Pelodiscus sinensis: one gene and its partner. The protein of the gene in region 1 interacts with the protein of each later gene in a pairwise test. Links are inferred from orthologs where the notes say so. Each region holds a gene or a part of one and is shown in the gene's direction. Other genes may lie near its edges.

Region 1 (7,611 bases):
ACAAAAGGCAGGGCTGTGAAGACTGGGGGAAAAGCTGTTAACAAATAAAGAAAGAAAGAAACAAACAAAGCAGCTGTGGGACAGTGTCTGCATGGTGGGGTTTTTTTTTCTTTCTCTCAACAACTTTGCCCTGGCTCTTCATGCTGTCTCCACTACTATTGTGGCTCTTCGTCTGGAATGGGTTGGCCATCCCTGCTCTATATCTTAAATCTCAGTTCTGAAAATAGTTGCAATACATACCTTTACTTCTGGCCACCAACAGATGGTAGCACATGAATATCAAAGTCTGGGACTGGATTTTCAGTCCTTCCACAAACAAAATTCTCCCTTTTGAATCAGAACCTAATCATGGAGTATGCACTCTGTAGAATATCTCCCTCCTGAGATCAAGTTTTTGTTTGAATATGGATTGCAGAATTAGGTGTTTGAACTGGCTGGTTCTTGGCAATTGGTAATTACCAGACAGTAATGATATTGTAACAATACTAAGCATTTGCTCTTCTTCAGCACATTTATCCAAGGTTCTCAAGGTACGACAAACATTAATTCCTCCTGTGAGGTAACCAGATTTTACAGATGTGGAAACTGATACACAAAACAGACATAACTGCCAAGTCTTGTGCAATTCAATGTGTGACATTGTATGCAACTTACAGATGTAGTATAGCTCATTAATTAAGTTATACATATAATACACATATGACCATGACTGTGGCTTCTGAAGTCAATGAACTCTTCCCCAAACAGTGGTAGGGACAGAACATGGAGCTGCACAAAATTTGTCAGCTGTGACAGATGAGTGCATGCTGAAGGGTTTCAGGGAAGGTGGGAAGTGCTGTGTGGGGAGAAAGCCAGGTTTGTGTAGAAGATGGAGGTGTCTGGAGACTGTGGCAGATTGGTGATAGTGGGGTCAATATGAGAGGTATATAAGGGAAGCTAGATTTGTCAAGGTTTCAGGTGTGGCTGGATAGTTTAGGGGGGATTGGAGGCTAGGGCCAGCTAGTTTTCTGGAGCTGGGGTTACTTGGTGGAGGAGTGATCTGCAGAAAGCTGGAGAAGGTCAGGAGGAAAAGACAGGGCCAGTTGGAGTTCCCAGGGTGGGAAGACCAGAGGGGACTGACTGGATTCAAATACCAAAGGAAAGAAGGGAGGGCTGGGATCCTTTGTGCCCCCTGCTGCTCTTTTCCTGCATAGGAAGGCCCTGCAGCAAGCTCCGCCACCAACATCCCACAAGCATGAGGCTGAGCTGCAGGCACACAGCAGCCTGACCACTGCAGGGCCAGATGGTGCAGGTCAGAGATGCTGCTCCTGGGAGCACCTCCTGGCCTCTGACCAACACCAACAGCTCTGGGCTGGTGTAGAGTGAGAAGCAGCTGAGCTTCAAAAGTCAATACCTAGGGTGTTGAGCACCTGCACTGGAACTGAGCATGCTCAGTAAGAGCTACTGTCCTCACTCTGCCCTTACATGGATTCAGATGCTGCTCCAGGCTTTTTACAATCATTAAAAGGGGGGTTAGGAGGCAATTGCAGTGGGGGATGGGCAGGGCAGGGCACAGAAATTAACCAGCCTCGGGAGTCAATTAACTTTAGTGTGAGGCAGAACAGGGGCTGGAAGGGAAAAATCGGGTGTGGGGGGGTGATTGGAGCTGGTGGAGGGGGAGATGCTGATAGGCCCTGTGCTGGGATTTTGCCCCCACACAGGGAGGGACAAAGGGGGTAACATTTACCTAAGGGGATGAGCCATCTGCCGCGTGTGCAAAGGCAGGGATGGGGGGGCACGAAGGGAAGCAGAGAGGGGTTTTATTTCCCCTCTCAGGGAGAAATGTACCAGTGCTGGAGCACAGGGCAGCTTCCTGATTGTGCTATTAAAGGTACAGCTGCCCTAATGCCTTGGCTTTCCTGGCTATCCTCCACAGCGCCTCTCTCTCTGCACTGCTACAGCACAGAAGATAGAATGCTGCAAACATTCCACATGCAGCATGTGAGGGAGTAACACATTTTGAGGATTTAAAAGTCTCCCATCAGTTTATACATGAAGTCTTTTAACAGTTCACAAATTTGTCTTATCTCTCGCTGTGATTCCCTGAATTACACACCCATCCTTGTAACCCATTTTAATGGTGGTTTTGCTCCTTTACAAATGTTCTCTCTTACTAGGGGGCTGCATCTCCTGCTCATTATGCTTGTCAACTCCCCCTGTCTGGGGGTAGGTGTCTGGCCAGGGGGGCAGGGTGCAAGAGGAGAGGAGGGTGCAGGAGCAGGCTGGGAATTCAGGGTCTCGTAGAAGAGGTGAGGGGCTCAGAGTGCGGGATGTTGGCTTGAGGGACAATGAGTGAGGGGGCTGGAGGTGCGGGGTCTTGTCTTGGAGGAGGTGGGGGCCACTTACTTGCTTCACACAGCTCCCAACACCATAGCTCAGGCATCATCTACCACTGCTTTTTAAAATCTTGCTAATTTGTTTTGCACTAATCACTCGAGTTAACTGCGAGAACTTTAATTTCCATGCCATTCTATAAGTTGAGAAGTTTCAGAGGGGTAGCCGTGTTAGTCTGTAACAAGACAAACTTAAAAAACAACAAATAGTCTGGTAACACTTTAAAGACTAACAAAACATGTAGATGGTATCATGAGCTTTCATAGGCACAGCCTACTTGAGAGTTTGCCCTCACCTGCAGTGTTGGCTGGGTTCACTTTTAGTCACTCAACCTCCAAAAAGATGTAGCAGACATGGAGAGATCTGCAAGCCACACAAAATCATTAGAGACCCGGAAAGGTTATGTGTGAAGAAAGAATGAACAGACTGGGACTGCATCATGCTGCCAGCAGACAGCCCTCAGGGGCATGCCAGTGTACACATACCAATGAATAAGTGGGCACACATTGGGGGCTTGAATGGTGGAGGGAATATGGCCCCAGAAGCTCCTCCCTGTGGTGCATCTGGCCTGCCTGGCAGGGGGAGGATGCGGCTCTGGGAACAGCAGCGCAGGAAAGCTCTATCCTTATTGTAACAGAGTCCAGGGACTGCCTCCAGGGTCCGACCCGTGCCGTATTCCCCGCTCTGTCCCTTCTATGCTTCTTTTCCCTGTATGGCCTCCCTTCCCCCAATGTCTATGTCCCAGAGTTCCGGTTGTACCCGTCACTCAATGTCTGAGCGGGGCTCTCCTCCTGGGTTCCGGTCTCTCTGCTCTGCTCTGGACAGGGCTGGGCACTCTGGGTTGGGGTCCTCTCGGCTCACCCACATCCCTCCGGTGACCTGCTGGGGAAAACACAACCAGCCTCCACTCCGCTCCTTCTGGCTCTCCCGCTCTCCCTCTCCTCCAGGTCCCAAGCCCCATCAGTTCTGGGCGCGTGGCCGCGCATGCACGGCAGACCCAGCACGACTCGGAGCCCGCTCCTCAGAGTGCCGGAGCGGCGCTGCTCTTAGTGCGGGGGCTCAAGCCCCTGTCACACCTATGTTCACTTGCAGGCTACACCCCAGGCACACCCATTGACCAGGAATTGCGGCCAGTGGGAGCATGGGGGGGCAGTTGCCTGCAAGCGGGGAGCCATGTAGAGCCACCTGCATCCCCCTTCCCTGAGCTGTGCTAGATAGTTGCCCCCACCTACCCAGAACATGCACCTTTATCCCCCTCTCCCACTCCTCACCCCTCCCAGACCCTGCACTCCCACCCCACGCCTATACCCCAGATCTCGCCCCTCTCCTACACTCCCAGACCCTGCAACCTCAGCCCACTACAGCACTCTACATTCTGCCTGCACTCCACACCAACTTATTGTTGGCCCCACCTCAGAACCGAAGGGAGACCCACAAAATCTACAAGCCCCAGGTTCCCAGAATAGTTAATCCAGCCCTGGTGGGAAGCACTGAGCCTTGGCCCCTCCTCCCACTTGTCAAGCATGAGTGAAGTGAAGCAAAATGAGGCTACATCTACACTGCAACGTATCCCACAATAGCTATCCTGCGTCTCCACAGCAAGCCCATTATTTTGGGTTTGCTATTCCGATAACCCTGTAAATCTCATTCTACGAGGAGTAAGGGACAGTTTGGAATAGCACTTGATTTTGAAATTTGGTGCTGATGACAAAATATGCTATTTTGAAATAGCATTGAAATAAGATACTCTATTTGAGTGTCTCCCTGTCTCTCTTTCCCCCTCTGCTTCTGAAGAGAGGAAGGGCAGCTGCCCCAGGGCCCAGTGATTTAAAAGAGCCCTGGGCCCTGCAAATCACTGCTAGTGCCCTGGGTGGCATGGGATGGGCTAGCTGGGGGCACAAACCCACAGTCCTACTCCTTCTGCCAGAGGCTCTGTACCAGTGATGGGTGCACAGGTGGTAAAGGCTGAACCCCCAGCCAACTGTCTGGCTTTGCTGCCCCCGGACCAGTGAGACGTGCATGGGTAGCAGAAACTGAGATGAGCCAAATCTGACCACTAGTGCGCCAATAGCTGCTACGGGAGCAGATCTGGAGACTGGGGAAGGGAGGGGAGGGCGAAGCGCCCCCTGGCGACGGCTCTGCAGCGCGCAGGGAACTGCAACAGCCCAGACCCGTCCCGCCTCCCGGGCCGCTGCAGCAGGCGGCGCCTGCGCAAAGTGTGAGTTGTCACATTTGGCGCTGGGATCGATGGCGTGGCGTTCGGCCAGGCTCCCTGAGGTGCGGTCTCAGTTGTGGCAGGCAGCACAAGTCAATCGACGAGCCCCGTCCGGCGACAGAGCGCCGCTTCGCAACCAGACTCTGTCAGCATTCCAGCGCATGCGCCGTGGGGTCGTGGTGCTCCTCTCACCAGAGCCAAGCGGAGGCTAGTGCCGCCGCATCCTGCGGGCGTTGAGGCGGGCGCGCGCAGGTGTGTGAAAGTGAGAGCGAGAGCCGCGCGGGCGTTGAGGCGGAGGGGCGCGCGCCCAGCGGGTGCCTCGCAAGGCCGCGAGGGGCGTCAACATGTCCGGCGTGGGGGCCGCTTCCTGCGCCTCGGGCTCCGGGGCCTGTGCCGGAGGGGCCGCCGCCGCCGTCTCCTCCCCGGGCGGGGGGGTGTCGATGTTCCGCTGGCTGGAGGTGCTGGAGAAGGAGTTCGATAAGGCCTTCGTGGACGTGGACCTGCTGCTGGGGGAGATCGACCCCGACCAGGCGGACATCACCTACGAGGGGCGGCAGAAAATGACCAGCCTCAGCTCCTGCTTCGCCCAGCTCTGCCACAAGGCGCAGACCGTGTCCCAGATCAACCACAAGCTGGAGGTGAGGGCGGGGGGGGGGACCTGAAAGTGGCCAGACGGGGGAGGAGGTTTGAAGGGGCACGCGGGGGGTGGGGCTGGGTAGCCGAGTGCTGAGTTATTGGGGGAACTGGGAAGCAAAGGGCTTGACCGACGCGGGGTGGGGATTTTCCCCAGTGCCCTGATTGCTGCCTTAGTCTCCCATGGGGCAGGCTGGGATTCAGGGTGTCTGTTCTGTCCACTGTCTTCTCTGCACTTGGCTCTAGCTAGCTGGGGCACCTTTTCCTCTCCTCAGTCATAGCTTGGCTTCCCATGGCAGCTATGGGCCGGACTAATGAATGACCAGTACAAAAACACACAACTTCTTAATTAGAATATTTTTTCACAAATCAAAACATCACCTAATCAGATGATCAAGTTAAAAAATCCATAACCAAGAAAGCACTCTTACCTAGTGAAAGAAGCAGGGAAGAGCATGCTTTAAAAATTCTCTGAACTCAGATATGGTGATGTGCAGTGTAAGAACCTGGTTGGGTTGTTAGGTCACCAACTGTGGTTCTCTCATTGCTCTATGATTCAGAAGTAACTAAAATTGCCATTTATATAGTCACCCCGAGCTATTAAACTAGCTAGAGCTGGTCTGTTGCAGAAATAGCTGACTGTAGGAAGAAAACATTTTGCCCATGATTTTAATCCCACTTCTTCTGGGTAGCAAGACATGGGTCTGCAAAATGTCTTTTGAGTATTAGTAATGCAGTAGCTAAGATTAGAGAATATTTAAAAGTAGAGTACAAGTTCAGTAGATCATCTCTGAGGGGTATCAGTGTTAGCATGGGGTGTTGGTGAAGGCAGGGCTGGGGGAGACAAGCTCCCATCCTCACATCGAGCCCCACCCCTTCTGCTGAGGCCCCATTTGTGCTCCCCCCTCCCAATCAGGGGGAGGGAAGGGCAGGAATGCGCTCACCCCAGCCTTTCCAGCCCCAGGCAGGAGACCGAGTACACGGTATGGCCCTGGCTTCACCAGCTCCGGAGGCGAGCGTGCCATGCAGCCCAGCCCAACCTCACCTCTCCAGCCCTGGAGCACCAGAAGAAGAAGGAGGGCGTAGGGTATGTGGCATGGCTCCAGCCTCGCCAGCCATGGCACACTGGGGAAAGGAGGAGGGCATGGTTGCTCAACTATTCGATAGTCTCTGGGGGCGGGGCTGGCAGCCAGGCACTCCCTGCCATCTTGTGCTGCTGCCTCTGATTGAGAGGCAACAGGGCAGTGTGGCATCAGCCCCTGTCCATGTGGTGCCTGAGCTCGCCGCAGACAGGGGCTGCTGCTTTGGAGCAGCTTCTGTCCACGGTGAGCCCAGACCCGCAGTAAGAGGCAGTGGAGGAGTGGACAGGCTGGTCCACAGAGCCAGCACACTCAGAGAGCTGGCTGCTTCCTGCCTTTCATGCTGCTGCCTCTCTATCAGGTTGAGGGGCAGTTGGATCCAGTGACCGTGGGGAGTCAGCTTAAAGCTGTCTACCTACAGGCACCGGCTCCTCCCTTCCGCCCTTTCCCCCGTTGGTGCCTCTGATACACATACCTCTGGTGCCACGTTCTACATTGACATCCCTAATAGAATCATGAGCTTTTTTGGGCAAAACCCACTTCATTGGATGAACTCTTCAATCAAGAGCTATGTATAGCAACAGACGTACCTGTCAGTTGTTAATGGCAGGAGAAATTGGCTTTGTAATATGCCAACTAGTTATGTCTTTGTTTTGTGTAAGTCCAGAGTAATTGTATCAAATCTGTAGATAAATTCCAGTTTTGCAGACTCTCTTTGTAATTGGTTAGTGATAATCCTTTGTAGAAAAATGGCTACTTTTAAATCCATAATTGAGTGACCAGGCAGGTTAAAATGTTCCCCTACAGGTTTATGTGTGTTACCATTTCTGATGTGTGTCCATTTATTCTCATTTGGCTACTATAGATGGCAATGGGACACTTGATGGCATATATCACTTTAGAAGATGTGCAGTTGTATGAGCCTCTGATGTTGTGGCTTATGTGGTTAGGTCCTATAATGCTGTTGCTTGAATAGATATGGGGATGGAGTTGGCAACGGGGTTTGTTGCAGGGGTAGGTTCCCAGGTGAGTGTATCTGAGGTGTGATGTGTAGATGCCGTAAAGGATTTGCTTCAGGTTGGGGGGGTTGTCTGTAGGTAAGGATTGTCCTCTCTCCCACGGCCTGTTAGTTTATAGTGAACAAAGTTGACTTCCTTATAGTTCATGGAAGTTCTTTCCAGACTGCTGTTTGTTGTATTATGTGTATGCGTGTTGCTGTACATTAGATAAGGCAAGTCTCCTGCTTGATAAATCTAATGCATATAGCCACAATATAGTGGTGCCATAGACTAAATCAGCATGGATAGCATG
Region 2 (7,330 bases), on another chromosome or scaffold:
TGGAGGCCTTCAGCAATCACCTGCTGGCTGCCTCCCTAGCGCAGGGCCTGGCGCTCTCGGGTAAACATGTCCCTGGCTCCCAGCCTGCAGGAGGGGTGCTGAGGCTTGAGGCTGACAAACAGGGCTCCGGCCGGGGCAGCTGGCAGCGCACACAGGCAGCTCTCCCCAAGCCCCGCGCAGCCTCTCCTCCCCCACACACACGTGAGCAGAGCAGCGGGACTAGCTTTGCAATGGGATGCTGCCACCGCTCAGGCCGGGCCTGGGCAGTGTGTACAGACTGAGCCCAGCTGGGCCTCGCTTTGCAATGGGACACAGGCCCCACTCTGGCCGTGCCTGGGCAGTGTGTACAGACTGAGCCCAGCTGAGCCCAGCTTTGCAATGGGATGCTGCCCCCACTCAGGCCGGGCCTGGGCAATGTGTACAGACTGAGCCCAGCTGGGCCTAGCTTTGCAATGGGACGCAGGCCCCACTCAGGCCGGGCCTGGGCAGTGTGTACAGACTGAGCCCAGCTGGGCCTAGCTTTGCAATGGGACACAGGCCCCACTCAGGCCGTGCCTGGGCAGTGTGTACAGACTGAGCCCAGCTGAGCCCAGCTTTGCAATGGGATGCTGCCCCCACTCAGGCCGGGCCTGGGCAATGTGTACAGACTGAGCCCAGCTGGGCCTAGCTTTGCAATGGGACACAGGCCCCACTCAGGCCGGGCCTGGGCAGTGTGTACAGACTGAGCCCAGCTGGGCCTAGCTTTGCAATGGGACGCAGGCCCCACTCTGGCCGTGCCTGGGCAGTGTGTACAGACTGAGCCCAGCTGGGCCTAGCTTTGCAATGGGACGCTGTCCCCGCTCAGGCCGGGCCTGGGCAGTGTGTACAGACTGAGCCCAGCTGGGCCTAGCTTTGCAATGGGACACAGGCCCCACTCAGGCCGTGCCTGGGCAGTGTGTACAGACTGAGCCCAGCTGGGCCTAGCTTTGCAATGGGATGCTGCCCCCACTCAGGCCGGGCCTGGGCAGTGTGTACAGACTGAGCCCAGCTGGGCCTAGCTTTGCAATGGGACACAGGCCCCACTCTGGCCGTGCCTGGGCAGTGTGTACAGACTGAGCCCGGCTGGGCCTAGCTTTGCAATGGGACGCTGCCCCCGCTCAGGCCGTGCCTGGGCAGTGTGTACAGACTGAGCCCAGCTGGGCCTAGCTTTGCAATGGGACACAGGCCCCACTCTGGCCGGGCCTGGGCAGTGTGTACAGACTGAGCCCAGCTGGGCCTAGCTTTGCAATGGGACACAGGCCCCACTCTGGCCGTGCCTGGGCAGTGTGTACAGACTGAGCCCAGCTGGGCCTAGCTTTGCAATGGGACACAGGCCCCACTCTGGCCGTGCCTGGGCAGTGTGTACAGACTGAGCCCAGCTGGGCCTAGCTTTGCAATGGGACGCTGCCCCCGCTCAGGCCGGGCCTGGGCAGTGTGTACAGACTGAGCCCAGCTGGGCCTAGCTTTGCAATGGGACGCAGGCCCCACTCAGGCCGGGCCTGGGCAGTGTGTACAGACTGAGCCCAGCTGGGCCTAGCTTTGCAATGGGACACAGGCCCCACTCAGGCCGGGCCTGGGCAGTGTGTACAGACTGAGCCCAGCTGGGCCTAGCTTTGCAATGGGACGCTGTCCCCGCTCAGGCCGTGCCTGGGCAGTGTGTACAGACTGAGCCCAGCTGGGCCTAGCTTTGCAATGGGACGCTGCCCCTGCTCAGGCTGGGCCTGGGCAGTGTGTACAGACTGAGCCCAGCTGGGCCTAGCTTTGCAATGGGACGTGGGCCCCACTCAGGCCGGGCCTGGGCAGTGTGTACAGACTGAGCCCAGCTGGGCCTAGCTTTGCAATGGGACACAGGCCCCACTCAGGCCGGGCCTGGGCAGTGTGTACAGACTGAGCCCAGCTGGTCCTAGCTTTGCAATGGGACGCTGTCCCCGCTCAGGCCGTGCCTGGGCAGTGTGTACAGACTGAGCCCAGCTGGGCCTAGCTTTGCAATGGGACGCTGCCCCTGCTCAGGCTGGGCCTGGGCAGTGTGTACAGAGTGAGCCCAGCTGGGCCTAGCTTTGCAATGGGACGTGGGCCCCACTCAGGCCGGGCCTGGGCAGTGTGTACAGACTGAGCCCAGCTGGGCCTAGCTTTGCAATGGGACACAGGCCCCACTCAGGCCGGGCCTGGGCAGTGTGTACAGACTGAGCCCAGCTGGGCCTAGCTTTGCAATGGGACGCAGGCCCCACTCTGGCCGTGCCTGGGCAGTGTGTACAGACTGAGCCCAGCTGGGCCTAGCTTTGCAATGGGACGCTGCCCCCGCTCAGGCCGGGCCTGGGCAGTGTGTACAGACTGAGTCCAGCTGGGCCTAGCTTTGCAATGGGACACAGGCCCCCCCCACTCAGGCCGTGCCTGGGCAGTGTGTACAGACTGAGCCCAGCTGGGCCTAGCTTTGCAATGGGACGCTGTCCCCGCTCAGGCCGGGCCTGGGCAGTGTGTACAGACTGAGCCCAGCTGGGCCTAGCTTTGCAATGGGATGCTGCCCCCGCTCAGGCCGGGCCTGGGCAGTGTGTACAGACTGAGCCCAGCTGGGCCTAGCTTTGCAGTGGGACACAGGCCCCACTCAGGCCGGGCCTGGGCAGTGTGTACAGACTGAGCCCAGCTTTGCAATGGGACGCTGTCCCCGCTCAGGCCGGGCCTGGGCAGTGTGTACAGACTGAGCCCAGCTGGGCCTAGCTTTGCAATGGGACGCTGCCCCCGCTCAGGCCGGGCCTGGGCAGTGTGTACAGACTGAGCCCAGCTGGGCCTAGCTTTGCAATGGGACACAGGCCCCACTCAGGCCGGGCCTGGGCAGTGTGTACAGACTGAGCCCAGCTGGGCCTAGCTTTGCAATGGGACGCAGGCCCCACTCTGGCCGTGCCTGGGCAGTGTGTACAGACTGAGCCCAGCTGGGCCTAGCTTTGCAATGGGACGTGGGCCCCACTCAGGCCGGGCCTGGGCAGTGTGTACAGACTGAGCCCAGCTGGGCCTAGCTTTGCAATGGGACGCAGGCCCCACTCTGGCCGTGCCTGGGCAATGTGTACAGACTGAGCCCAGCTGGGCCTAGCTTTGCAATGGGACGCTGTCCCCGCTCAGGCCGGGCCTGGGCAGTGTGTACAGACTGAGTCCAGGTGGACCCTGGAGCCCATGTGCTTTGCTCCTTGCCCCCTGGCTGGGAGTTATCAGCCGCCAGGAGGAAGAGCCATTTTTGTGTTAATTAGTAATGACAGGACCTGATGAAAGGAATTCTGGGAGCAGAATACACAGAGCCCTGTGTAGCCAGTGAACGCCGAGTGCAGAGAAAGTGAGCGGGGGGGAAGGGGGTTCACACTCACTGGCCCTCTGGCTTCAGCCCCCTCACCACTCTAGGGTGCTGCCGGAGGGGGTGCCCCCCCCAAAAGTAAAATGGGCTCGGGTCAGGTGCTCCCAAATCATGAGAGAGGCTCAGACATCACCAACGCGTAGTTCCAGCCATTTGCCGTCTGACCTGGGGGGTCACTTGGGTCCCAGTTTGAAACCTGCCCAGCGCGCTAGACAGTTCCTGGCTCCGAAAGGGAAGCGGCGAGTCTCACAAAGCCTTCCCCCGGAGCTGGGTCTCATAGTGGCCACACACACGTCGGTAACACCGGTGGGAACTGAGGCGAACGTTTGACCGTCCCTGGGCTGGGATAGTTCCGTCGGGTTGGGCGGTTGGGTGGTGCATGGTGCTGGGTGGGGCTGGCGGCCTGTGGCGCACAGGTCAGACGGGTGGGCTGGTGCTCCTTTGGGGCCTTCAAAGTCTGGAACAACTCTCGCCTCCCGCCCAGCTGGGAGCCAAGGCAGAGGCTCGCTAGCAGCTCCTTTTTGTGGGGCGGCAGCTGTTTGGAAGAAGGCTCCAAGGGCCATGCCAAGCAGCAGGTTTCAAGCCTGGTTCGAGCTGGCACGATTGAAGCTGCCAGCAGCTTTGTGCACAGAGCTTGTGTTAGTCCATGCCTAGCACACACCGGCAGAGCCAAACCTGGGCCTCCAGCAACTTCCCACTTGAGCTACAAGCCAGCTGAGGCTCAGGGGAGGCTGCAAAGCAGACTCAGTCTCTCGCTCTGTACGTGGGCTAGGTGCCACGGCAAGAGACAGCACACCCAGACGATGTGGGTTACACCAGCTATAGACAGGCCCCCAGAGCAGGGTCCCAGAAGGCCTCCAGTGGGGGAGGGGGAAGCTGGGGGGTCAGTCACCTCTTGCTCTGTTGATCTCTGACCTTCTGTTTGTTTTCTCCCTGCACTGGGGCAGGCTGAGCAAACAGTGAGTTCCTGGGACGGGAGGCTGCAGAGCCTCAGCCTGCCCAAGCAGCCAGACCAGGTCAGCTCTCCCCGCCGTGCACCATGAGGCTGCTGGTCCCAGCACTGCTGCTGGGTTTGCTCCGTGGGGCTTTGGCAGCTGAAGGTGAGTCTCTGCTCATCCCGCTGCTGGACGCCCTGCTGGATGCTTCAGTTCAGGGTGTCCCTAACTCCCACTTGCAGCTAGCGTAGGGAGACAGTGGCTAGATCTGCTGGGCTTTGGGGGGCAAGGGGCCCGGGAGAAAGCAGCAGGTGAGTTCCCTGCTGGGGTTCTGGCTGCGGTGGCTCGGCAGAATCTCTCCAGTAGCAGCCGGCTGCTGCCCCCACAGACCTGCATTGGTCACCCATCACAGGCCCTGGGGGAGGGGGTGCTAGCAGTCAGCCCCCCTCATCTTCAGAGAAGCACACTGACGAGCGGGGAGGCCGAGGGGCTGGGCGCCTGGGCGAGGGCTGAAAACGGCCCTGGCCTCTTTGCACCAGCATGCAGCCAGCACTAGCAGTCGGGGCTGCTGGCGCCTTGGCTCATTTCTGGTGTGGAGGGGTCGCTGTGCTCACTGCCCTTTCAGAGTCATGCGTCGGCCACTGCGAGGACGGCTTCGATGCCCAGAGGAAGTGCCAGTGCGACGCCCTCTGCACCTACTACCAGAGCTGCTGCAGTGACTATGTCAGCGCCTGCAAGCCAAAAGGTACCTGTCCCCTGCAGACCCCCAGGCCTAGCCCCCACCCCGCACCAGGGAACAGGCACAAGCAAGGTTCCCTGTGAGCTGGCACTAGGGCGGCAGCCCCGGAGAGATACAGGTGCTGCCCAGCTGATTTGCAGCACATCCACAGTGCACACAGCTGGCAGCAGCTGTTTCTACTGTTGGTGCACATCGTCAGGTGCCTTGGTGCACATAAAATGTATTCCGCACATGGGGAGAAAACATTAGAGGGAAAATTGGACACAAGTCAAGCCCTGTTGCCTGGCTGGTAGCAGAAAGGTGCCGGACTGGGTACAGGGTTTGGGGGAGTCACCAGGCCCTGCATCCCCATCCGCAGCCAGACGTGACACTCAGCCGGCAAGCAGAACAGAAGGGTTATTGGGTCCCAGGGACACAGCGAAACACAGGATCGATGTTAACACAGAGACCCAGAGCAGGCGGCCTTATTCCTCTTGGGGGAAAGGGGTCCCGGGCCCTTGCTCCCCCTTTCCTGCCCTAAGCCCCGTCTCAGATCCTAGCCCCACCAAGACTGCCCCTTCCCCCAGGCCCTCGTCCCCAGCCTGGTGTCAGCCCAGCCTACCCTTTGTCTCCCTTCCTGGGCAGAAATTGTTATCTCCCCTGCCTAACCCTCTGGTTTTAGAGGTGTAATACACTTCTACAGTGAGTCACCCCCTCCTCCAGACAGTGCTGCCCTGCCCAGAACAGCAGGAACCACACAAAGCAACACGGCAACATGATCCCCGCTACACGATCCCCCCTACGCCCTGTCTCAGAGACACGAGCCCCGCTACATGACCCCCGCTACGCCCTGTCTCAGAGACACGATCCCCGCTAAGTCCCGTCTCAGCCACACGATCCCTGCTACGTCCCGTCTCAGCCACACGATCCCCGCTACACGATCCCCGCTACACGATCCCCGCTACGCCCTGTCTCTGCCACACGATCCCCGCTACGCCCTGTCTCAGAGACACGATCCCCGCTACGCCCTGTCTCAGAGACACGATCCCCGCTACTCCGTCTCTGCCACACGATCCCGCTACGCCCTGTCTCTGCCACACAATCCCCGCTATGTCCCAGCTGAGAGACACGATCTCCGCTGCATCCCATCTCAGCAACACGATCCCAGCTATGTCCCATCTCTGCCGCACGATCCCCGCTATGCCACGTCTCTGCCACACGATCTCTGCTACACCCTGTCTCTGGCAGACGATCCTCACTATGTCCCATCTCTGCCACACGTTCCCCGCTACGTCCTGTTCCCCGCTACGCCCCATCTCTGCCACACGATCCCCGCTGTGAGGACGTGCCTGGGGTCAGCGAGTGCCGGTTCTTCAGGGTCTGGCCAGCGTCGCACGTGCGGCAGCCGTTTGCTGAGCTCCCTTCACTAAGGGGCCCTTGCGAGTTCCAAAGGGCAGAAGGGCCCCGGAGCCGAGCCTGATTCAGAGGATGGGGGACGTACGAAGGACCCTTCATCCCACGCTGAATGGGAGCAGTCTCCCGGCAGGGCTGGTCCCCAGCCAGGCAGTGCCCGGCACAGGGGCAGGCTGCAGCACCCCCAGGGCCCTGACCCTCTCTTGCCCTGCACAGTGACCCGCGGGGACATGTTCGCGTTTCCCGAGGACGACTACGTGGACTACGCCACCAACACTTCCTGGAGCGAAACCACAGAGACTGGGCCCACAGCCACAGCCCCAGAGCTAGTCAGTGTGGCCACCACGGATTCGGTCACGGTGCCTGACAGCGATGCCCCTCTGCTGGTCCCCAGCGTGCTGGGGGAGCAGGAGGAGGTGGTGGAGGAGGTGCTGTGTAGCGGGCAGCCCTTCGATGCATTCACCGACCTGAAGAACGGTTCTCTCTACGCGTTCCGAGGTAGCAGCTGGCGAGGGCTGCCCATGGGCACTGGGGGGGTGGGGAGGCTGGGTCAGAGCATGGCCCAGGGCTGCATCCATCTCAGGTCGCTGCTCGGCCAGATTCTGGGAGGCAGGTGGGTCTCAGCCCAGTTCGCAGGGGTCCCCGCCATCACAGCTGACACCAGCTGGGCCTTTGACAGCCAGGACTGATTGGCCTTGGAGCCTGAGTGCCCCACACAGGCAGACCCATGCCTGGGTCATGTGCTTTGCTGTGGCTGTCGTGGGCACGATGAGGCCAGGTTTGGAGTGGAGCCCCTGCCGCTAGCCCCTTTCACACTGCAGACAGGGCAGGGAGAGGCAGCTGGACCCAAAGCAGAGGGAAGGGGGTTCGGTGGTGCTGGGGGGGGTTGTGTGGGCACTACCGCCC

What was found.
Region 2: the proteins of GOPC (region 1) and VTN interact in binary tests that used the Homo sapiens proteins (3 or more experiments, as listed by UniProt). The two-hybrid records come from large-scale screens. The link is inferred for Pelodiscus sinensis from reciprocal best matches to the Homo sapiens genes GOPC and VTN.

The regions. Positions count from the first base shown.
Region 1 is NC_134713.1:84,050,400-84,058,010, reverse strand, and holds the start of GOPC (Golgi-associated PDZ and coiled-coil motif-containing protein), read left to right. Parts: upstream 1-4,605; 5' UTR 4,606-4,932; coding exon 4,933-5,226; intron 5,227-7,611.
Region 2 is NC_134731.1:378,133-385,462, forward strand, and holds the start of VTN (vitronectin), read left to right. Parts: upstream 1-4,330; 5' UTR 4,331-4,397; coding exon 4,398-4,458; intron 4,459-4,891; coding exon 4,892-5,038; intron 5,039-6,640; coding exon 6,641-6,922; intron 6,923-7,330. UniProt on the Homo sapiens protein: Vitronectin is a cell adhesion and spreading factor found in serum and tissues. Vitronectin interact with glycosaminoglycans and proteoglycans. Is recognized by certain members of the integrin family and serves as a cell-to-substrate adhesion molecule.